Linked DNA regions of Saccharomyces cerevisiae S288C. The gene in region 2 interacts genetically with the main gene of each other region. Each region holds a gene or a part of one and is shown on either strand. Other genes may lie near its edges.

What was found.
Region 1: mutations in CNN1 (region 2) and DSN1 together harm fitness more than expected from each alone (negative genetic interaction), as found in Saccharomyces cerevisiae (3 studies listed by BioGRID, with this or other methods).
Region 3: mutations in CNN1 (region 2) and YTA7 impair growth when combined (synthetic growth defect), as found in Saccharomyces cerevisiae (one study listed by BioGRID).
Region 4: mutations in CNN1 (region 2) and CBF2 impair growth when combined (synthetic growth defect), as found in Saccharomyces cerevisiae (2 studies listed by BioGRID, with this or other methods).

What each region holds. Positions count from the first base shown.
Region 1 is NC_001141.2:373,658-377,688, forward strand, and holds DSN1 (MIND complex subunit DSN1), read left to right. Parts: upstream 1-1,773; coding exon 1,774-3,504; downstream 3,505-4,031. Other genes in the region: DNA primase subunit PRI1, read right to left, coding at 1-649; U2 snRNP complex subunit MSL1, read left to right, coding at 868-1,203; STS1 (Sts1p), read right to left, coding at 3,630-4,031. UniProt on the Saccharomyces cerevisiae protein: Acts as an essential component of the kinetochore MIND complex, which is required for the spindle checkpoint and kinetochore integrity.
Region 2 is NC_001138.5:242,510-245,978, forward strand, and holds CNN1 (centromere-binding protein CNN1), read right to left. Parts: upstream 1,651-3,469; coding exon 565-1,650; downstream 1-564. Other genes in the region: MRX20 (Mrx20p), read left to right, coding at 1-490; BNA6 (nicotinate-nucleotide diphosphorylase (carboxylating)), read right to left, coding at 1,770-2,657. UniProt on the Saccharomyces cerevisiae protein: Component of the kinetochore, a multiprotein complex that assembles on centromeric DNA and attaches chromosomes to spindle microtubules, mediating chromosome segregation and sister chromatid segregation during meiosis and mitosis.
Region 3 is NC_001139.9:1,025,557-1,032,028, forward strand, and holds YTA7 (chromatin segregase YTA7), read left to right. Parts: upstream 1-1,813; coding exon 1,814-5,953; downstream 5,954-6,472. Other genes in the region: FOL2 (GTP cyclohydrolase I), read right to left, coding at 1-179; HUA1 (Hua1p), read right to left, coding at 501-1,097; SLH1 (RNA helicase), read left to right, coding at 6,235-6,472. UniProt on the Saccharomyces cerevisiae protein: Functions as an ATP-dependent nucleosome disassembly factor that helps evict canonical histone H3 from the 5'-end of genes upon their induction.
Region 4 is NC_001139.9:765,334-770,816, forward strand, and holds CBF2 (Cbf2p), read left to right. Parts: upstream 1-2,095; coding exon 2,096-4,966; downstream 4,967-5,483. Other genes in the region: TPO2 (spermine transporter), read right to left, coding at 1-273; VPS62 (Vps62p), read left to right, coding at 5,236-5,483.

The DNA.
Region 1 (4,031 bases), on a different chromosome or scaffold from region 2:
AAGAACGAGCAAGATGAGGGTGATAAGGCCTCTTCAAAGCCAATCGCTTGTCAGTATTTCTGTCTCTAATCACGTTGACATAATCTAAAACGTTTCTTCGTTGTACATCCGTCAAAGCCCGTGCCCGTTTGTCGCTTACCCAACAATGAGCACCACGTCTACCTGAAAATACCCAGATGAAGTCCTTATAACCAAAATCCTCTCTTAGGGCCGTGTTCGTAATTTTCATTGCCAAAGATATAAATTTCCAGCACTTAGAGCAAACTTGGGCTCCGGAGCAACACGTTCTGAAGGCATCGTAATCATCCATATCAATATCAAACACCAACTCCTTCTCTAAAGCTTTCAATTCGCTTTTTAATAGAGTATCACGTTCTCTTGGCGGTTTGTTATATATGGCACCGATTTCAAATCTGTCTGGGTTGGCTTTTTCTATTTGTGCTTTGAAATCTTGCACAGAGTTAAAAGAATTATACCTTTTGTAAGCACCTGACCTGAACGCCATAGCGAATTCTCTGTTAATCATATCCCTAGAAGGTTTGGGCGAATGATTCAGCCAGTTGAAAATGTGTTTGAATGGATAGAGCGACTTATAGTAGTACTCCATGTCTGAGGAGCTTGGCCCATTAGTCTTTACTGAATTGGTCATGATGTTTATAAAACAGTTTTTTGAGTTGCTAAAACTAATTTTTGCTAGTATTATGGCACGCTTTTCTCTTCAGCTTCAAAGTATTTTTGATTAATTTTTTATCTTTTTGGCGTTATGAAACTTTTCAACTGAAAGAAAACAATAGGTAAAAGTGGCAAAGGGCACTGACCGAGCAACTGTTTCGAAACTCACGCATCATTCACACGTAGGATATAGTAATGGTTGAACCAGCAAGGAAAAAGCAGAGGATTGATCGCGATACTCATCACACTGTGGCTGAACCAGTAACGGAAGCTAAAAATACGCTGTACGTGAGCCAGCTTAATGAAAAAATTAATATGCAACGACTGCGAGTAAACCTTTTTTTGCTCTTTGCTACGTTTGGAGAGGTACTGAAGGTTAGCATGAATTTCAAGAAACAGCGGGGCCAAGCCTTTATCACCATGAGAACCATCGACCAGGCCAGTCTGGCCCAGATTTCATTAAACGGCGAGCGATTCTTTGGTAAGCCTTTGAAAGTTGAGTTCAGCAAGAGTGAAACTAAAACACTATGACTGGCTTAACGCTCTATTCATAGCAGCACGTATATACCGAGAAGAGCTGCCATAGGGGCACATCAAAGTCAAGAGCGCAGAACCAAACCAAAATGTTTATATCCAAACAACCCGGCGTTATAGATGGTCGTCAACGGACAAATAATATCAAGGCATGTATCAATATGGAGTAGATATAGAATCTACAAAAATCTGTAGCAGAAAGAGTCTCCCGAAAAGACATACTGCAGAACGGCCGCTTATTCCTCACTTCAATTGCTTAAATAATACAAAGGGCAAACCACAGAGTACCCCATTGCCAAAAGACGTTTATTACATTTTGGAAGTGATAATTTAGTATATAAGACAGCTTACTATATGATGAATTACAGTGTAGTTCAGCGTTTATATGTGGCTTCGTTTAAAATGATATATATTTCTAGTAAAAGCAAAAATTCACAAATGATAAACAAATCAAAATAAACATCAAAAGAACCGCCAATTGATAAAAGCACAAAGTACCAGGCAGAGTTGTGAAACCGGGCCTCTTCTATTGTACCACACACAAATTTTTCTTTATTTAGGTAGAGGATGAGTCTGGAACCCACACAAACGGTCTCCGGTACGCCGCCGATGCTGCATCAAAGAACACACAAACAAGTATACCCATTGCGGATGGAAACTATCCCAATATTGGAATCCGACTCCAAGGCTACTCTACAAAGCAACGAGCCCACCCAGAAAGATGAGGAGGAGACCGAATATTTTGAGAATAAACAATCCGTGTCGAATTTGAGCCCCGATTTGAAATTCAAACGACACAAGAATAAACATATCCAGGGGTTCCCTACTCTGGGCGAAAGGCTGGATAACCTGCAAGATATAAAAAAGGCCAAGAGAGTGGAGAATTTCAATTCTTCTGCGCCAATTGCTGACGACAATCATAGTGGAGATGCGACTGCAAATGCGACTGCAAATGCGACTGCAAATGCGACTGCGAATGTTAATGCAAGTGCAATGCCCGCTCCATATATGCCTTATTACTATTACTACCATCCGATGAATGCACCAACTCCTGCAATGATACCATATCCTGGATCACCAATGCATTCGATTATGCCCAACTCCTCATTACAGCCCTTTTATTCGCAACCCACTGCTGCAGGCGGTCCCGATATGACTACTCCCCAAAATATATCTTCATCACAACAATTGCTGCCAGCTCCGCAATTGTTTCCGTACGGATCATTCCATCAACAACAACTTCAGCAACCACACTACATTCAACGAACAAGGGAAAGGAAAAAATCAATCGGAAGTCAGAGAGGTAGAAGATTGTCTATGTTAGCATCTCAAGCTAATGGGGGAAGCACTATTATATCTCCGCACAAGGATATTCCTGAAGAGGATTTTTACACCGTGGTTGGAAATGCGTCTTTTGGTAAAAATTTACAAATACGACAGCTTTTCAACTGGTGTTTAATGAGATCTCTGCATAAATTGGAGTTGAAGGCTAAAAACCAAGAGGAAGAAGGGGAACTTGAACATCTGACCAAAAAATCCAAGCTCGAATCAACAAAGGCAGAAACTGATTATGTGGATCCCAAACGTCTGGCTATGGTGATAATAAAAGAGTTTGTCGATGATCTTAAAAAAGATCATATTGCGATAGATTGGGAAGATGAGGAAAAATATGAGGATGAAGATGAGGAGAAGATTCTGGATAATACTGAAAACTACGATGACACGGAACTGCGACAACTGTTTCAGGAAAACGACGACGACGACGACGACGACGATGAGGTGGACTACTCGGAAATACAGAGGTCTAGACGTAAATTTAGTGAAAGGAGAAAAGCCCTACCGAAAGAACCAAAAAAACTATTACCTAATAGCAAAAACGTGGAAAACACAAAGAATCTTAGCATTTTAACGAGCAAGGTGAACGCGATCAAAAATGAAGTGAAAGAATGGGCAGTCACTTTAGACACTTCGAGACCAGATCTTGAATGGCAAGAATTGACTTCATTCTCATCACAACCACTGGAACCGTTGTCGGATACAGAAGAGCCAGACCTTGCGATTGCAGATGTTGAGACAAAGTTAGAAACAAAAGTCGATGAGCTAAGGTACCAGTCGCATATATTAAACTCGCACTCACTAGCCTTAAACGAAATAACAAATTCAAAAGTGAATAAATTGAACATAGAAACAATGAGAAAGATCTCAAGCGAAACGGACGATGACCACTCACAAGTGATTAATCCTCAACAGCTGTTGAAGGGATTAAGTTTATCTTTCAGTAAAAAACTGGATTTATGAAATAAAAGAAAAAATCAAAAAAAAATCGGATACTTCTGCATATGTAACATTACACAGTCATACATTTATATATACATATATATACATATTAATGTATTTGAAAAAGCAAAAGAACCATTCTATCCTTAGTTAAAGGGCGAATCAGTAGCAGCGCTACCACTATTGTTATTGTTTTCGTTTGCTGTCATGGTATCGTGGTGGTAAATAATACTTTCTTGAAGTGATAATGTTGATGACGATGCTGCTGAAGGGCTACCCATATCTAAAGATTTGAACAGCTGGAGTGGGCGTTCCAATAACCCATTTGAATGTTCATTGTATACCTGTAATCTTGTCATATGACTTTTCCAGACGGAGCTATTATCTGCTAATAAAATTATCCTGTCACGGGCAACATGTTCAATAAGCGTACACCATACGTGAGACAATTGTTCAATGCATTTATCGTAGTAGTAATTATTACTAGCTAATTCAAATCTGGGCAATTTGATAACTAATTCCGTGCAAATGTCTAAGAATTTTAATGA
Region 2 (3,469 bases):
AAAGGCAACCTTTCACAAGGTGGCGACTAAATCTACTCCTGTGGCTCGTATCGAGAAACTACTTCCAGCGGTAAAACACATGTATCAAACAAGAGGCCCTGCTGCGTTCGTCCAGGGAACAACAGCCACCATATTTAGGCAGATAGCTAACACCTCTATTCAATTTACTGCATACACAGCATTTAAACGGTTGTTACAAGCAAGAAACGACAAGGCATCCTCAGTAATAACGGGGTTAGCCACATCTTTTACACTCGTGGCAATGACTCAGCCCATTGACGTCGTAAAAACAAGGATGATGAGTCAAAATGCCAAAACTGAATATAAAAATACCTTAAATTGCATGTATAGAATATTTGTTCAAGAAGGCATGGCCACATTCTGGAAGGGCTCCATCTTTAGGTTTATGAAAGTCGGTATTTCAGGAGGCTTAACGTTCACTGTTTATGAACAGGTTAGTTTGTTACTAGGCTTCTCTTCCAGGTCTTGATAATTTTGTGGATCTTTTACTCTTTTCTGTACATAAATTGCCACTATTTAATTATTTTCTCTACGGTATCTTTTTTAGAACAAATAACTTTCAATTCTTGATTGAAGTTCTAAGGGAAGCAATTCGTGCGCGAGCTCAAACATATCATCAACGTTATTGATAATACCCATATCGATAAACGAATCTACCAATTCCTGTTTTTGTAACGTGCCGATTTTTTGTTTCAAGAAATCCATTATATTTAAAGATTCCTCCTGTATAGTAGACCACGTTTGTTTCGGCAATATTATCCTATTCTCATTCAAAAATTGCCTTGTAAGATGTTTTAGATCCATTATTTGCAGCGGTTTTATAGAAGAACGTCTCACCGCAGGGACATTTAAACGGATAGGATCGTTGCCTATATCATCCAAATTTTCGTCACTGGTGTTTTCAAACGAATAATCTTCGTTTTCTGCTTCTTCTGTCTCCTCTTTATCGTCGCTTGGTAAATCTTCAGATAGTGGTTCTTCCTGTTGCGTTATGGAAATTGGTACCGGATCACGTACTGGCGGTTCATCTACCTGATCCATTCCAATGCTTGGCGACGTGCGCAAAACTTCCATAGAGATACTGTTAGCTTTATCTGGAGAGTGCACTGTCAATTCATCCTCGTGTCCTGTCGTGGGAACATCTTGTATTATTATCGGGTCAATCTTCCTACTTTTCAAGCCTTTGTCTCTTTCCTGCAATTTTGCAAATACTGTTTGCGATAAGGAAGTATAATCAGGTTGCGTTTCATTGCCAATGTTGTTATCTGTCAGTTTCTCACTTCTGCTCCGAAGAAGCTCATTCTCCTCTGGTTGGCTCTCTTCGTACGCTAATTCATCTATTAGATTCCGTGCTTGAGTTTTATTAGTAGTTGTATCGTTGCCTTGTGATTTGCGTGCTAACACTTGGCTTAAGTCTTGTAAAAAACTTCGTACTTCGTTCGGATCTTTATTGAGGATGTCATGAGACTTAGTAGAAGCAGATAAAAGTTTTCTATAACCTGGCGTATTTCTGATCAGTACCTCATCCTTGAGACGTTGTTCTTCAAGGGCTCTCTCCCGAAAGGGGGTTCTGATCTCTGAGACTTCTGTATTCTCGTTGTTACCGGCGGCCTTCCTGGGAGTGCTCATTATTCATTTCTTATTTCGTTACTAATCGTCGTGTGTGTCATTAATCGGTAACGCGTAGCTTCTTAATCTTATTTAGAATATGTAAATAAAAAAAAGTAAAAATCGAAGCCTAAGCATTTTCAATGAGCCAGTTTCAATGAGAAATCAATCACTGGTGTGCCTTGATGAATGCTACTAGTGCTGTAAATGTCAATGTCATCGCACAAATACTCCTCGAGGTTGTCCAAATTCAAGCCTCCACTACATTCCAAGAGGAAATGCTTTTTACCATTCCATTTGTTCTTAAGACTTTGGGCGCACATTTTCAAACCGTCACCTTTGAAATTATCCAACATGATAACGTCTGCACCAGCTTCAATGGCCTCTGTGGCTTCATCTTCACTCAAACACTCCACTTCGATCTTCACAGCAAACCCGCACACGGCCCTGGCGTTCTTAACTGCGTTTGTTATAGAACCAGTAGCCCAAATATGATTATCTTTGAGCATGACCATAGAGGAAAGGTCGTATCTGTGCGTGTCGCAGCCACCTACAAGCATGGAATACTTTTCTAATCTACGTAAACCTGGTGTAGTCTTTCTTGTCCCCGCAATGGTCCCCTTGTAACCAGTCGAACGCGCCAAACTGATTATCTTATGTGAGGCGGTGGCAATTCCACTACTTCTACTAAGGATGTTCAAGGCGGTTCTTTCAGCTAATAGAATGTTTTTAGCGGGCCCAGTAATTTTAGCTACAACAATCTTACCAGAGTCATTCTTCGAAGGCTCCAAGAAGGAGCCTTCCTTAAACAACCACTCAACTTGCAATTCGCACTGATTAAAGACTTCTTGCGCAAAGGGGACACCACACAGCATACCATCCTGCTTACAGTACAAATTGGCCTCCTTTAGGTCGGAACCAACAACATATCCACCAAAATCAAAAGAAGGAACGTCCTCGCTCAGCCAATTGGTGACGTCTTGTCTCCATGCTCCATTAACGGGCAATAAGTGTTCATAAACAGGCATTTTTTTTTTTTGGTGTGTGTTCTTTCTGAGGATTGCGTTCTTTTTGTTGCGTTATTAAGTGGTGTCTTTAATTTTCGAATTTATGGCCCAAGATATACGAAAACTGCGGTAGGAGTCATGATAAATGGGGGCTCTTCAACCAACCGGCGTCACCAAAAGCAAAAATATCCTGGAGCGAAATATCACATTGTTTGTAACCAAGCTTGTACCTTTGACAAGTTAACTTACGTCTTGCCGGGGTTTGCTACTACGCATTCAAGTATATAAAACGTTGTGACACACAAGTTGATAGAAACCTCAGGATGTATAACTACAATTCTAGTTTCCATCTCATTAGTCCCAAATGACAATAAAAAAAATTACTGGCCATGGAAGATGACAAGCCGAATATTAGCTCCTTCGATCGAACTGTGCGTGGAGAAGAAGCTACTACTATTTAATAATTAGTATCCCGTGATTTTGAGCTGTCGCTGGCATTATGTACCTGACATTAGGTATTTAGGAAAGGTAGGGTAGATCAGTTTAGTACCTCAATGGGTGCGGAAGGTTAATCTTGAAAAATTTGCGATTAGTAGACAAGTTTATTCTCACAAGAACAAAATATTCAGTTCATTTCAGATATGATCGTGAAGGTGGAAATCTTTTTTTTAAAAATGAGAAGTGTGCCCAACAAAGAAGTAAAAGACAAGTTAGCTTTCTGTCATGCTTGAAAACTTTATGGAAGCCTGTGCATTGGCATTAGAGGCATCTCCGACAATCAGAAGAACACTTCTTGTTATTATAATTACCCATATATTTTTTTTTTTTTCAAA
Region 3 (6,472 bases), on a different chromosome or scaffold from region 2:
CGTTGAATTCGTTCCTTTTCCTCCTCTTCAGTTTCCTCTGCACGTTGTCTTGTACCCACACTTGGCCAAGAAAACCCATCTCTCTCGACAGGAGGGTTTAAAGTGTATGGAGAGGTAGGTCTAATGTTTAACGGGGTTTCATGTCTTTCTATCTCTTGCACTAATTGGATGTTATGCATTTTGGGATGATTGAAAGTATTGGTTCTAACAAAAAATGAGTCACGCACGCACAATCACGATTGAGGATGGAGTCGTATAATATTTTATGAACGGATGCTATATCGATCAGACGGTTGGCACCGTAAAAATAAATGAAAGAAGTTAAAGAAGGGCAAATCAGTCGGATTATGTGATAAGTATGTAATAGACATGTTTGAAAATTAGGAGCATTAAAATATGCTTTTCATCCTACAGTTGTTCGGTCTTTTTTCTTTTCGGTGAGCGACACAGCTTTTCTACTAAGGCCGTACCGGGTCATCCAAATCCTAAATTTTCATGCGCTAATAGCGTTGAGGCTGGGTGATAATTCTGCCTACACCATGACAAAGAGGACATATATCTTCGTCCAACAGGAATCTGGTGCGTCCGGACCCTCTGCATTCACCACATAGCACGCCACCCAGGCGAGGATCCCCTGGTTGAACGTACAAGGGCCTATTACCCTGCCATGCGTTGGTGTACACGGGCATTGTATAGTTTGTGTAATATGTCGGTGCAGAAACAACGTTATTTTGAGGTGCAAACCTCCTCCAACACGACTTGCAAGATCGTCCATTCTTCAACTTGTAACCCGTATTTCCACACTTGGAACAGTAAAACCTGGGAGGGTATGTCCAGGGCAAGCTAGGATTCTGTTGTGGCCTCGGTGGAGGCCGTGGTTGGGAACTTGTAGGCGTATAAGAGTGTGAGTGAGCATATGTTTGGGATGAGGACGTTGCTGGCATTGTCGAGGGCCTTTGGTGGGGTCTTGATTGGTGCCCTTGCGCCAAGTTAGCTGCTGGTCTTGGTGGTCGTGGCGGTTGAGATTGCAATCTCTCCTCTTCCTTGATTACGTCCTCGTAGCTCGGCAGTTCATCATCATGCGTGTCTTTAGACATAACAGTATGGTTTATACTCGTTTTATGGGTATTTTTTGGGACTGCTTAGTTCTTGACTTGAAGCCTCTTTATTCCCTTGATGGAAGTGTCACTATTAAAGATGGAGGCGGAGGCTATACCGTAGAAAATGATATGTTTGTATGTTCTGCTCTCTTCCCTCTATTAAAAGGGGGAAAGAGAAAAATAAATGGAAAAAAGCGATTAAGCCATAGGGAAAACACTCTTGTGGTGGCAAAGCATCAGATAGGCAGGCAGGAGGAAATGGCAGTGAAGTGTCAAACCAAGCATACTTTCACTGGATTGATTTGAAAGTTAATGCTGAGTTTGAGATGTTTTAAAGAGGAACTGTGGTGATCGGTTATTTCTATTCGCTTTTGTGTGCGTCTTTTCATCGTTTGCAGCTGAACTTGTTGAGGCATTAGCCGCTGAGGAATTTTTTTCTGCCTCTATAAACTTGTTTATTATCACTAAAAACGTACCGTCTGTTATTTTGTACGGCCATGTGTGCGAAAAAGGACAAAGTGGTAGCGAAAGAGCAATATTGGGACGAAAAGGAGCAGAAAAGGAACTGCGTAGGGTCTTAAATAAAGCAAAACGTCTGAAGGATCTTGCGTACTCCTTACTAACCCATTGTTGTTTTCGACAGTCATAAAAAGAAGTTACCACGGTCTATTTCTCTCTTCTCGCTATTTATTCACAATTGGTGCAGAAAGAACATGGCACGAAATTTAAGGAATAGACGCGGTAGCGACGTTGAAGATGCAAGCAACGCAAAGGTTGGGTATGAAACACAGATTAAAGACGAAAATGGCATAATCCATACAACAACTCGCTCTTTGAGAAAAATAAACTACGCAGAAATTGAGAAAGTGTTTGATTTTTTGGAAGATGACCAGGTCATGGACAAAGATGAGACGCCCGTTGATGTTACTAGTGATGAACATCATAACAACAACCAGAAAGGCGATGATGAAGACGATGATGTTGATCTTGTATCACCGCACGAAAACGCCAGAACGAACGAAGAGCTTACTAATGAAAGGAACTTGAGAAAAAGAAAAGCGCATGATCCAGAAGAAGATGACGAAAGTTTTCATGAGGAAGATGTCGACGATGATGAAGAGGAGGAAGAAGCAGACGAATTTGAAGATGAGTATTTGGATGAAGACTCGAAGGATAACAACCGTCGGCGCAGAGCGGCCGATAGGAAATTTGTAGTACCAGACCCTGATGACGATGAAGAATACGATGAGGATGACGAAGAAGGAGACAGAATAAGCCATTCGGCTTCTTCTAAACGTTTGAAAAGGGCAAATTCTCGAAGAACAAGATCGTCACGTCACCCAGAAACTCCACCACCGGTAAGAAGAGCTTTAAGAAGTAGGACAAGACATTCGCGTACTTCAAATGAAGAAAATGACGATGAGAATGATAATAGCAGGAATGAAGCGTTAACTTTAGCTGATGAAATTAGAGAGTTACAGGAAGATAGTCCTATCAGGGAAAAAAGATTTCTTCGCGAAAGAACTAAGCCGGTAAATTACAAATTACCACCACCACTAACTGCTAGCAACGCAGAAGAATTTATAGATAAGAATAACAATGCACTTTCTTTTCATAACCCATCACCTGCACGGCGTGGTCGCGGTGGTTGGAATGCTAGTCAAAATTCTGGTCCCACAAGAAGGCTTTTTCCCACTGGTGGACCTTTTGGTGGCAATGACGTAACTACAATATTTGGTAAGAATACTAATTTTTACAACCAAGTCCCATCTGCATTCAGTGATAATAACAACAATAAATTAATACTGGATTCAGACTCTTCCGATGATGAGATATTACCTCTTGGCGTGACACCGAAAACAAAGAAAGAGAACACGCAAAAAAAGAAGAAGAAAAAACCAGAAATTGCAGACCTCGATCCATTAGGCGTAGACATGAATGTAAATTTTGACGATATAGGTGGTTTAGACAACTACATTGACCAATTAAAGGAAATGGTGGCCTTACCACTATTATACCCAGAATTGTATCAAAATTTTAATATCACGCCCCCAAGGGGTGTTCTTTTCCATGGTCCTCCTGGTACGGGTAAAACACTTATGGCAAGAGCGTTAGCAGCAAGTTGTTCTTCTGATGAAAGGAAGATCACATTTTTTATGCGTAAAGGTGCAGATATTTTATCCAAGTGGGTTGGTGAAGCTGAAAGACAACTCCGTTTGTTATTCGAAGAAGCTAAAAAACATCAACCTTCCATCATTTTTTTTGATGAAATCGACGGATTAGCGCCTGTGAGAAGTTCCAAACAAGAACAGATCCATGCTAGTATTGTTTCCACATTATTAGCGCTGATGGATGGTATGGACAATAGAGGCCAAGTCATTGTCATCGGAGCCACAAATCGACCCGATGCAGTGGATCCCGCATTAAGAAGGCCGGGAAGATTTGATAGAGAATTTTATTTTCCATTACCTGATGTTAAAGCACGTTTTAAAATTTTGCAAATTCAGACCAGGAAATGGAGTTCACCGTTGTCAACCAACTTCATTGATAAATTGGCTTTTTTGACCAAAGGATATGGTGGTGCTGATCTGAGGTCCCTATGCACTGAGGCTGCACTAATAAGTATACAAAGAAGCTTTCCTCAAATTTATAGGTCAAATGATAAACTCTTGGTGGACCCTTCTAAGATTAAAGTCAAAGTTAGCGATTTCATGTTAGCTTTGAAAAAAATTGTTCCGTCATCTGCGAGATCTACTGGTAGTTCTCCTCAGCCACTACCTGAATTAATCAAACCATTACTGGCAGATCAACTTAATAATTTAAAGAACAAGCTGGATTATATGCTGAACATTAAAGACACAACTTTTCAGAGAAACACATCATTGCTACAAAATTTCATCGATTATGAAGAATACAGTGGAGAGGAAGAAGAGCATGACAAATATGGAGGAAATGAAGATACATCCAGTTTTAGATCATATGAGTTTTTCGAATCGATGGCGGAATCACAAATTTGTAAACCTCGGTTATTAATAAATGGGCCCAAGGGAAATGGTCAACAATATGTCGGAGCCGCAATTTTAAATTATTTAGAAGAATTCAACGTCCAAAACCTGGACCTTGCCTCTTTGGTTTCGGAAAGTTCTAGGACTATTGAAGCTGCTGTAGTGCAAAGTTTTATGGAAGCAAAGAAAAGACAGCCCTCAGTTGTATTTATTCCTAATTTAGACATTTGGATCAACACTATTCCAGAAAACGTTATTTTAGTCTTATCAGGTTTGTTCAGATCTTTACAAAGCAATGAAAAAATTCTTCTATTATGCTTAGCTGAAAATCTTGATATATCTGAAGTTAAAAATGGTATTTTATCTGATTTTGCTTTTGATAAAAATATCTTTCAACTGCATAAACCATCCAAAGAGAATATAACGAGGTATTTTTCTAATTTAATTGAACTACTGAAAACAAAGCCAAGTGATATTCCCATGAAAAAGAGAAGAGTCAAACCGTTACCTGAATTACAAAAAGTAACTTCAAACGCAGCTCCAACAAATTTTGATGAAAATGGTGAGCCACTGTCTGAAAAAGTGGTATTAAGAAGGAAGTTGAAATCTTTTCAACACCAAGATATGAGATTGAAAAATGTGTTAAAAATCAAACTCTCAGGCTTGATGGATCTTTTTAAAAACAGATATAAAAGGTTTAGAAAACCACCTATTGATGATGCCTTCTTGGTTCATCTTTTCGAACCAGAGACAAGCAATGATCCCAATTGGCAACCTGCATATATAAAAGATGAGAACATGATTCTGGAGGTTTCAACAGGGCGAAAGTTTTTTAACATGGATTTGGATATTGTCGAAGAGAGACTTTGGAATGGCTATTACTCAGAACCAAAACAGTTTTTAAAAGACATTGAACTGATATACAGGGATGCAAATACCATTGGGGACAGAGAACGTGTCATTAAGGCCTCTGAGATGTTTGCCAACGCGCAAATGGGTATCGAAGAAATTTCAACCCCGGATTTTATTCAAGAGTGTAAAGCTACTCGCCAAAGGGATTTGGAAAGGCAGGAACTTTTCTTAGAAGATGAAGAGAAAAGAGCTGCAATGGAATTAGAAGCCAAAGAACAGAGTCAAGAAAATATACTGCAAGAACCTGATTTAAAGGATAACAAGGCTAATGAGTTTGGTGTAGCTGCTGGTAATCAATTGCAAGCTCAGCTGCAAACAACTATCAATACAGCCTCTATCGTTAATAACAGCGAGGTCCCTCAACCAATTGATACCAACCTGTATAAAAAGGAGATTCCTGCGGCAATTCCCTCTGCAGTAGATAAAGAAAAAGCGGTCATCCCTGAGGATAGCGGTGCAAATGAAGAATACACAACGGAACTGATACAGGCCACTTGCACGTCAGAGATAACCACCGATGATGATGAAAGGGCCAGAAAAGAACCAAAAGAGAATGAAGACTCTTTGCAAACGCAGGTTACGGAAGAAAACTTCAGCAAAATAGACGCTAATACTAATAATATAAATCACGTAAAGGAAATTCAATCGGTTAACAAACCAAATTCCCTCCACGAAACGGTAGAAAAAAGGGAACGAAGTCCGATACCAAAAGAGGTTGTGGAACCGGAGCAAGGGAAGAAGAGCGACAAGGAGCTTATTTTGACGCCCGAACAAATAAAAAAAGTATCTGCATGCTTAATCGAACACTGTCAGAATTTTACGGTTTCTCAATTAGAAGATGTTCATTCGTCCGTTGCAAAAATAATATGGAAAAGTAAATCAGCATGGGATAAAACAGGAACTGTCGATGAAATAATAAAATTTTTATCTGAATAAGCAGGAGTCCATAATGTTTATATAATTCTTAAATGTAGTTAGTTCATATACATGAATGTGCACTTTTCTTGAAAAGAAATAGATTTAAAACCACACCTTGTATATATATTATGCTTTTTTCCACTACTTTATTTTAACAGTCACTGTTCTGGCATACGTTTCGGGTAATGACCGAGAATGGAATATGTATTGAACATATTGAAATTAAACATGTTCATAATATCTTCTAACACCATTGGAATTGTGAGAAGTAGATCCGTACCATCAATAGCCGGCTCAAGATGTCAACTGAATACTCTGCTGATTCATCTAAATCATTTATGATTGCAATGCAATCTATGATTGATACTTCACAAACCTTTAATCTAGATAGATCGAAAATCTCTTTACCAGATTTTGATGACGAGCTAAAAAAAGTCCAAAAGGATGAACAAAATCAAAGAACTGAACTAACTGTTCTCTCACAAGATAGAAATGATTGGGATGATATATTTGAGGAGTTTAAAGACATTTCATTTG
Region 4 (5,483 bases), on a different chromosome or scaffold from region 2:
CACTGGAACCAGCCCAGATGGTGTTTCCATGGTATATTCTTCAGGGAAAATGTTATTCTTAGCAGTTTGTGGCGCATTGATATCAGGCACTGGGGCGGCTGAAGTGACACCTAAATCTTGTAAAGACTTGACGGTCTCAGTCTTAGTTAACTTAAGTTGATTTGCACGAGAGTTGGTTTTTGAGGGGACATACTGTTGAGGTTGTTGGCCCTCAACGTCCACCATGGAAGTGTTTTGTGAGTTGAATGAAACAACAGATTCTTGATCACTCATATTTGTTTTGTGTATTATTTTTGTGATTAGTTATTAGATGGAATTAAAGGAAAAATATCAATGGACAAAAAATATTAGGGTGTAGAAATAAAGAATAATAGCAGGGCTTTGATAAAAGAATGTATCAATTACTTTTTGAAATTAAAGTTAAAATTAAAATTCAAACCGAAAAAAAAAAAAAATTAAATATTAAACTTGATATAGTAGGAGAAGGAAGTTGTATATTGTTCTCTATAAACACAAACAATAAAATGATATATTTGTTTTCTTATTTCTTCTTGATGTCTTCAGGAAAAAAGAACATAAACAAATACAAAAAAATCCTAGTACGAAACCTCAAAAGGGTGTATGCGCAATGTATATATATAGCAAGAAAAAAAAATAAACAGTGGCATTACAGTGCATGCGGATGGCAGTGTTCTTCGGTGGCTTTTTCGAAAAACCTAGAATGCGTTTAAAAGACTCAGACACCTAAGCAGAATATGCGAATGACTCGTTCAGTAAAATGCGACGCGACAGTTTGTTTTCGTTCTGCGCTGCTGTGTTCTCTATTCTTTTGAGATGAATTTAACGGCTATGGAATCATCTCGAGAAATCGGTTCTAGTAAGGCACCAAGACATTATGTCCCTCGGGAGGAGAAGGGCGCACGCGTCAGGCTTCCACGACGTCCGCCGTGCATGCGCTCTCGCATTTTTAAGGTTTAGTGCGGCAGGCGACTGCGCTGCGGCCAGCCCGTGAGACCACCCGAGGGAATTTGAGTAAGCGCGCCCATTGCGGGGTTTTTGCGGTTTGCGCTGTTTTCCGCACGAGGTTTCTCCGGACACAGTTAAGCAGTATATTTCACTCGGAAGCGCCGGAAAATTTTTTTAAGCGCAAATATATTCAGGTAAGCAGCAAAAAAATACTTTTTCCGGTGGCCCGTGATGTGTTTGTAACAGCTTCTGCGGTACTTTGGGCGGCTAAATGGCAAATAGATCAGGGGAAGGGTTTTTGCATAGGTACAAAATAACCGGATTTTGGGTAAGATTCGATCTTCGGCACTTGTGGCGAAGTAAAAGTGTTGAAAAAGTTCGCGTAATAATAGTGTTAGCCGTTTCAGCTTCGTCCATAAAGTACATATCCACAACTCTCATGGTGCGAAGTACAAACATTGAACGGCAGCTGTCTTGCTCAGCTAGTGGTATGTAAGCAGCCGCATTCTATTTTTATTTTCGTGCCTTTAAGTGTTAAAACCTGAGGCAGATTTTTTATTTTTTTGCATTCCCCTTCCTTTTTGCCGTAATGGCGCATTCAGTGCTGATATATTTATACTTCAATGGTGCTTCTCCTTACTTTTCTTATAGAAATAAACATCAAAACATGAACCTCAAATTCATCCGAAAATGACTGCGGCCACTCACCTTGCTTCTTCCCCACAAATATTTGTGTTCTCTGCTTTCTTTGTGTGTACTTTGTCTTGCTCTATATAACTTTCTCTCTGCTGCTGAGTCTTCAAATAGGTAGATTGATGCCTGTGGACTTTTATACAAAGGAGTTTGAGTGATTACATTCAAGATAAACGTGAAAAGTTATTATTATATCTTATGCTAAACAACAGTGTAATTGCGTTTGTTAAGCACAATCTCAAAATAATGCGCTAACAGTGGTGCGCATACTGCCATTTGTTATGGGCTATAATCGGATAGTGTATTCTTCTTGTTTGGTTATGTATCTCAACATCCAGGTATCCGTTACCCCACTTTGATACCAGGAACCTTTCGCGTTTTCTCTCGCTTTTATTTTTTTACCGCATACAAACAAACAAGAAAAAGTAGAAAACATATGAGATCATCGATTTTGTTTCTACTAAAATTGATGAAAATTATGGATGTTCAGCAACAGCAAGAAGCTATGTCATCAGAAGATAGGTTTCAGGAACTGGTGGACTCCCTAAAGCCAAGAACTGCGCATCAGTACAAGACCTACTATACTAAGTACATACAATGGTGTCAGCTCAATCAAATTATACCGACACCGGAGGACAATTCTGTAAATAGCGTCCCCTATAAAGACCTGCCAATATCTGCTGAACTGATACATTGGTTTTTGTTAGATACATTAATAACCGATGATAAGCCTGGAGAGAAAAGAGAAGAGACTGAAGATCTTGATGAGGAGGAGGAGAATTCATTCAAGATCGCTACGTTGAAGAAAATTATAGGCAGTCTCAATTTTTTGTCAAAATTGTGCAAAGTTCATGAAAATCCAAATGCTAATATAGACACAAAATACCTGGAGTCAGTCACCAAGCTTCATACCCATTGGATAGATTCACAAAAGGCAATCACCACTAATGAAACAAATAACACAAATACTCAAGTGCTGTGTCCACCATTATTGAAAGTGTCTTTGAATTTATGGAACCCAGAAACTAACCATCTCTCTGAGAAATTTTTTAAAACCTGTTCTGAAAAATTAAGATTCCTGGTGGATTTTCAATTAAGAAGTTATTTGAACCTTTCATTTGAAGAAAGATCAAAGATACGATTTGGTTCCCTCAAGCTCGGTAAAAGGGACAGAGACGCTATAATTTATCATAAAGTAACTCATTCGGCGGAAAAAAAAGATACGCCGGGCCACCATCAACTCCTTGCATTATTACCCCAAGATTGTCCATTTATCTGCCCTCAAACTACATTAGCTGCATATTTGTATTTAAGGTTCTATGGTATACCATCTGTTTCGAAAGGGGATGGCTTTCCCAATTTGAACGCTGATGAAAATGGCTCACTTTTACAAGATATTCCCATACTAAGAGGCAAATCACTGACAACTTATCCCAGAGAGGAAACATTTAGTAATTATTATACAACCGTGTTTAGGTATTGCCACTTACCTTATAAAAGAAGAGAATATTTCAACAAATGTAACCTTGTTTACCCAACTTGGGATGAAGACACTTTTAGAACATTTTTCAATGAAGAAAACCATGGAAATTGGTTAGAACAACCTGAGGCCTTTGCGTTCCCTGACAAAATACCGTTCGACTTCAAGAAAATCATGAACTTCAAATCGCCCTACACTTCGTATTCTACAAACGCTAAAAAGGACCCTTTTCCGCCTCCAAAGGATTTATTAGTTCAAATATTTCCGGAGATTGATGAATATAAAAGACATGATTATGAAGGTTTGTCTCAGAATTCAAGGGATTTTCTAGATTTAATGGAAGTTTTACGAGAAAGATTTTTGAGCAATCTACCATGGATTTACAAATTCTTTCCTAATCATGATATATTCCAGGACCCCATTTTTGGAAATTCCGATTTTCAATCATACTTCAATGACAAAACTATACATTCAAAGGGTTCACCCATTTTATCATTCGATATACTACCAGGCTTTAATAAAATCTATAAGAATAAGACAAATTTTTACTCACTCTTAATAGAAAGGCCTTCGCAGTTGACATTTGCTTCGAGTCATAATCCAGATACACACCCCACTCAAAAACAAGAATCTGAGGGGCCATTACAAATGAGTCAACTTGATACTACACAATTAAATGAATTATTGAAGCAACAGAGTTTCGAATATGTGCAGTTCCAAACACTTTCTAATTTCCAAATTTTATTATCGGTATTCAATAAAATTTTTGAGAAATTGGAGATGAAAAAATCTTCAAGAGGCTATATTTTACATCAGCTTAATTTATTCAAAATTACCTTGGATGAAAGAATTAAGAAATCTAAGATTGACGATGCCGATAAATTTATACGTGATAATCAGCCCATTAAAAAAGAAGAAAACATTGTGAATGAAGATGGGCCTAACACATCAAGGCGGACAAAGAGGCCGAAGCAAATTAGATTACTCTCAATTGCGGATTCCTCCGACGAATCCTCCACGGAGGATTCAAATGTATTCAAAAAGGACGGTGAATCCATCGAAGATGGCGCATATGGAGAAAATGAAGATGAGAATGACTCTGAGATGCAAGAGCAGTTAAAATCTATGATAAACGAACTTATAAACTCCAAAATAAGCACTTTTTTACGGGACCAAATGGATCAATTTGAATTGAAAATAAACGCTTTATTAGATAAAATTCTTGAAGAAAAAGTCACTCGTATTATCGAGCAAAAACTTGGTTCACACACGGGGAAGTTTTCAACGTTGAAGAGGCCACAACTATACATGACGGAAGAACACAATGTTGGATTTGATATGGAAGTTCCTAAAAAACTTAGGACCAGTGGTAAGTACGCAGAGACTGTGAAAGATAATGATGATCATCAAGCCATGTCAACTACTGCATCGCCGTCTCCTGAGCAAGATCAAGAAGCAAAGAGCTATACTGACGAACAAGAATTTATGCTGGACAAATCCATAGACAGCATAGAGGGAATCATTCTTGAATGGTTCACCCCAAACGCTAAGTACGCCAACCAATGCGTGCATTCAATGAACAAATCAGGTAACAAGTCGTGGAGAGCTAATTGTGAAGCTTTATACAAGGAAAGAAAATCAATTGTTGAATTCTATATTTATTTGGTAAATCATGAGAGTCTCGACAGATACAAAGCAGTTGATATTTGCGAAAAATTACGAGATCAGAACGAAGGTTCATTTTCGCGCTTGGCAAAGTTCCTAAGGAAGTGGAGGCATGACCATCAAAATTCATTTGATGGTCTGTTAGTATATCTATCTAACTGAGGGAGCTTCGAAGTTTAAACTGTTTCGTATAGGGATACCGACATGTATGTTTATAATATAATGATGTTTACTATGAGAAAAAGGCTGCCGGAATATCAACGGTTGCTGTGGTGAGAAAATCGGGTAACACCTATAGGGGTTCCATCACTTCAGATGCCTTGAACTTTGAAATCTATACGAATATAGGAAGACTGAGTTGGTAGACCTGGTAAGATAGAAGAGGAAGAAGGCTTCTTTATTACCGCAACTAAGAATAAACTTATAGCTTCATGCGAATCTCAAAAAATAGTCATAAGCGGCAAAGAACGAGGCTATATTTCCTCGTTACATTTATTATTTATTCGATAATACCCTGCCGTGCGGTACTCGTGCCTTGGCTGGATGATGACCCATTTGAAGCAACGCTTCTAGAAATGGGGGATGAACCATGGAGTAAGGACATCCTTTCAAGCACACCTCCGTTACATCCATCTGAAGTTACCGAGGATAACAAAAGCTTAAAACAAAGGGGCAATGT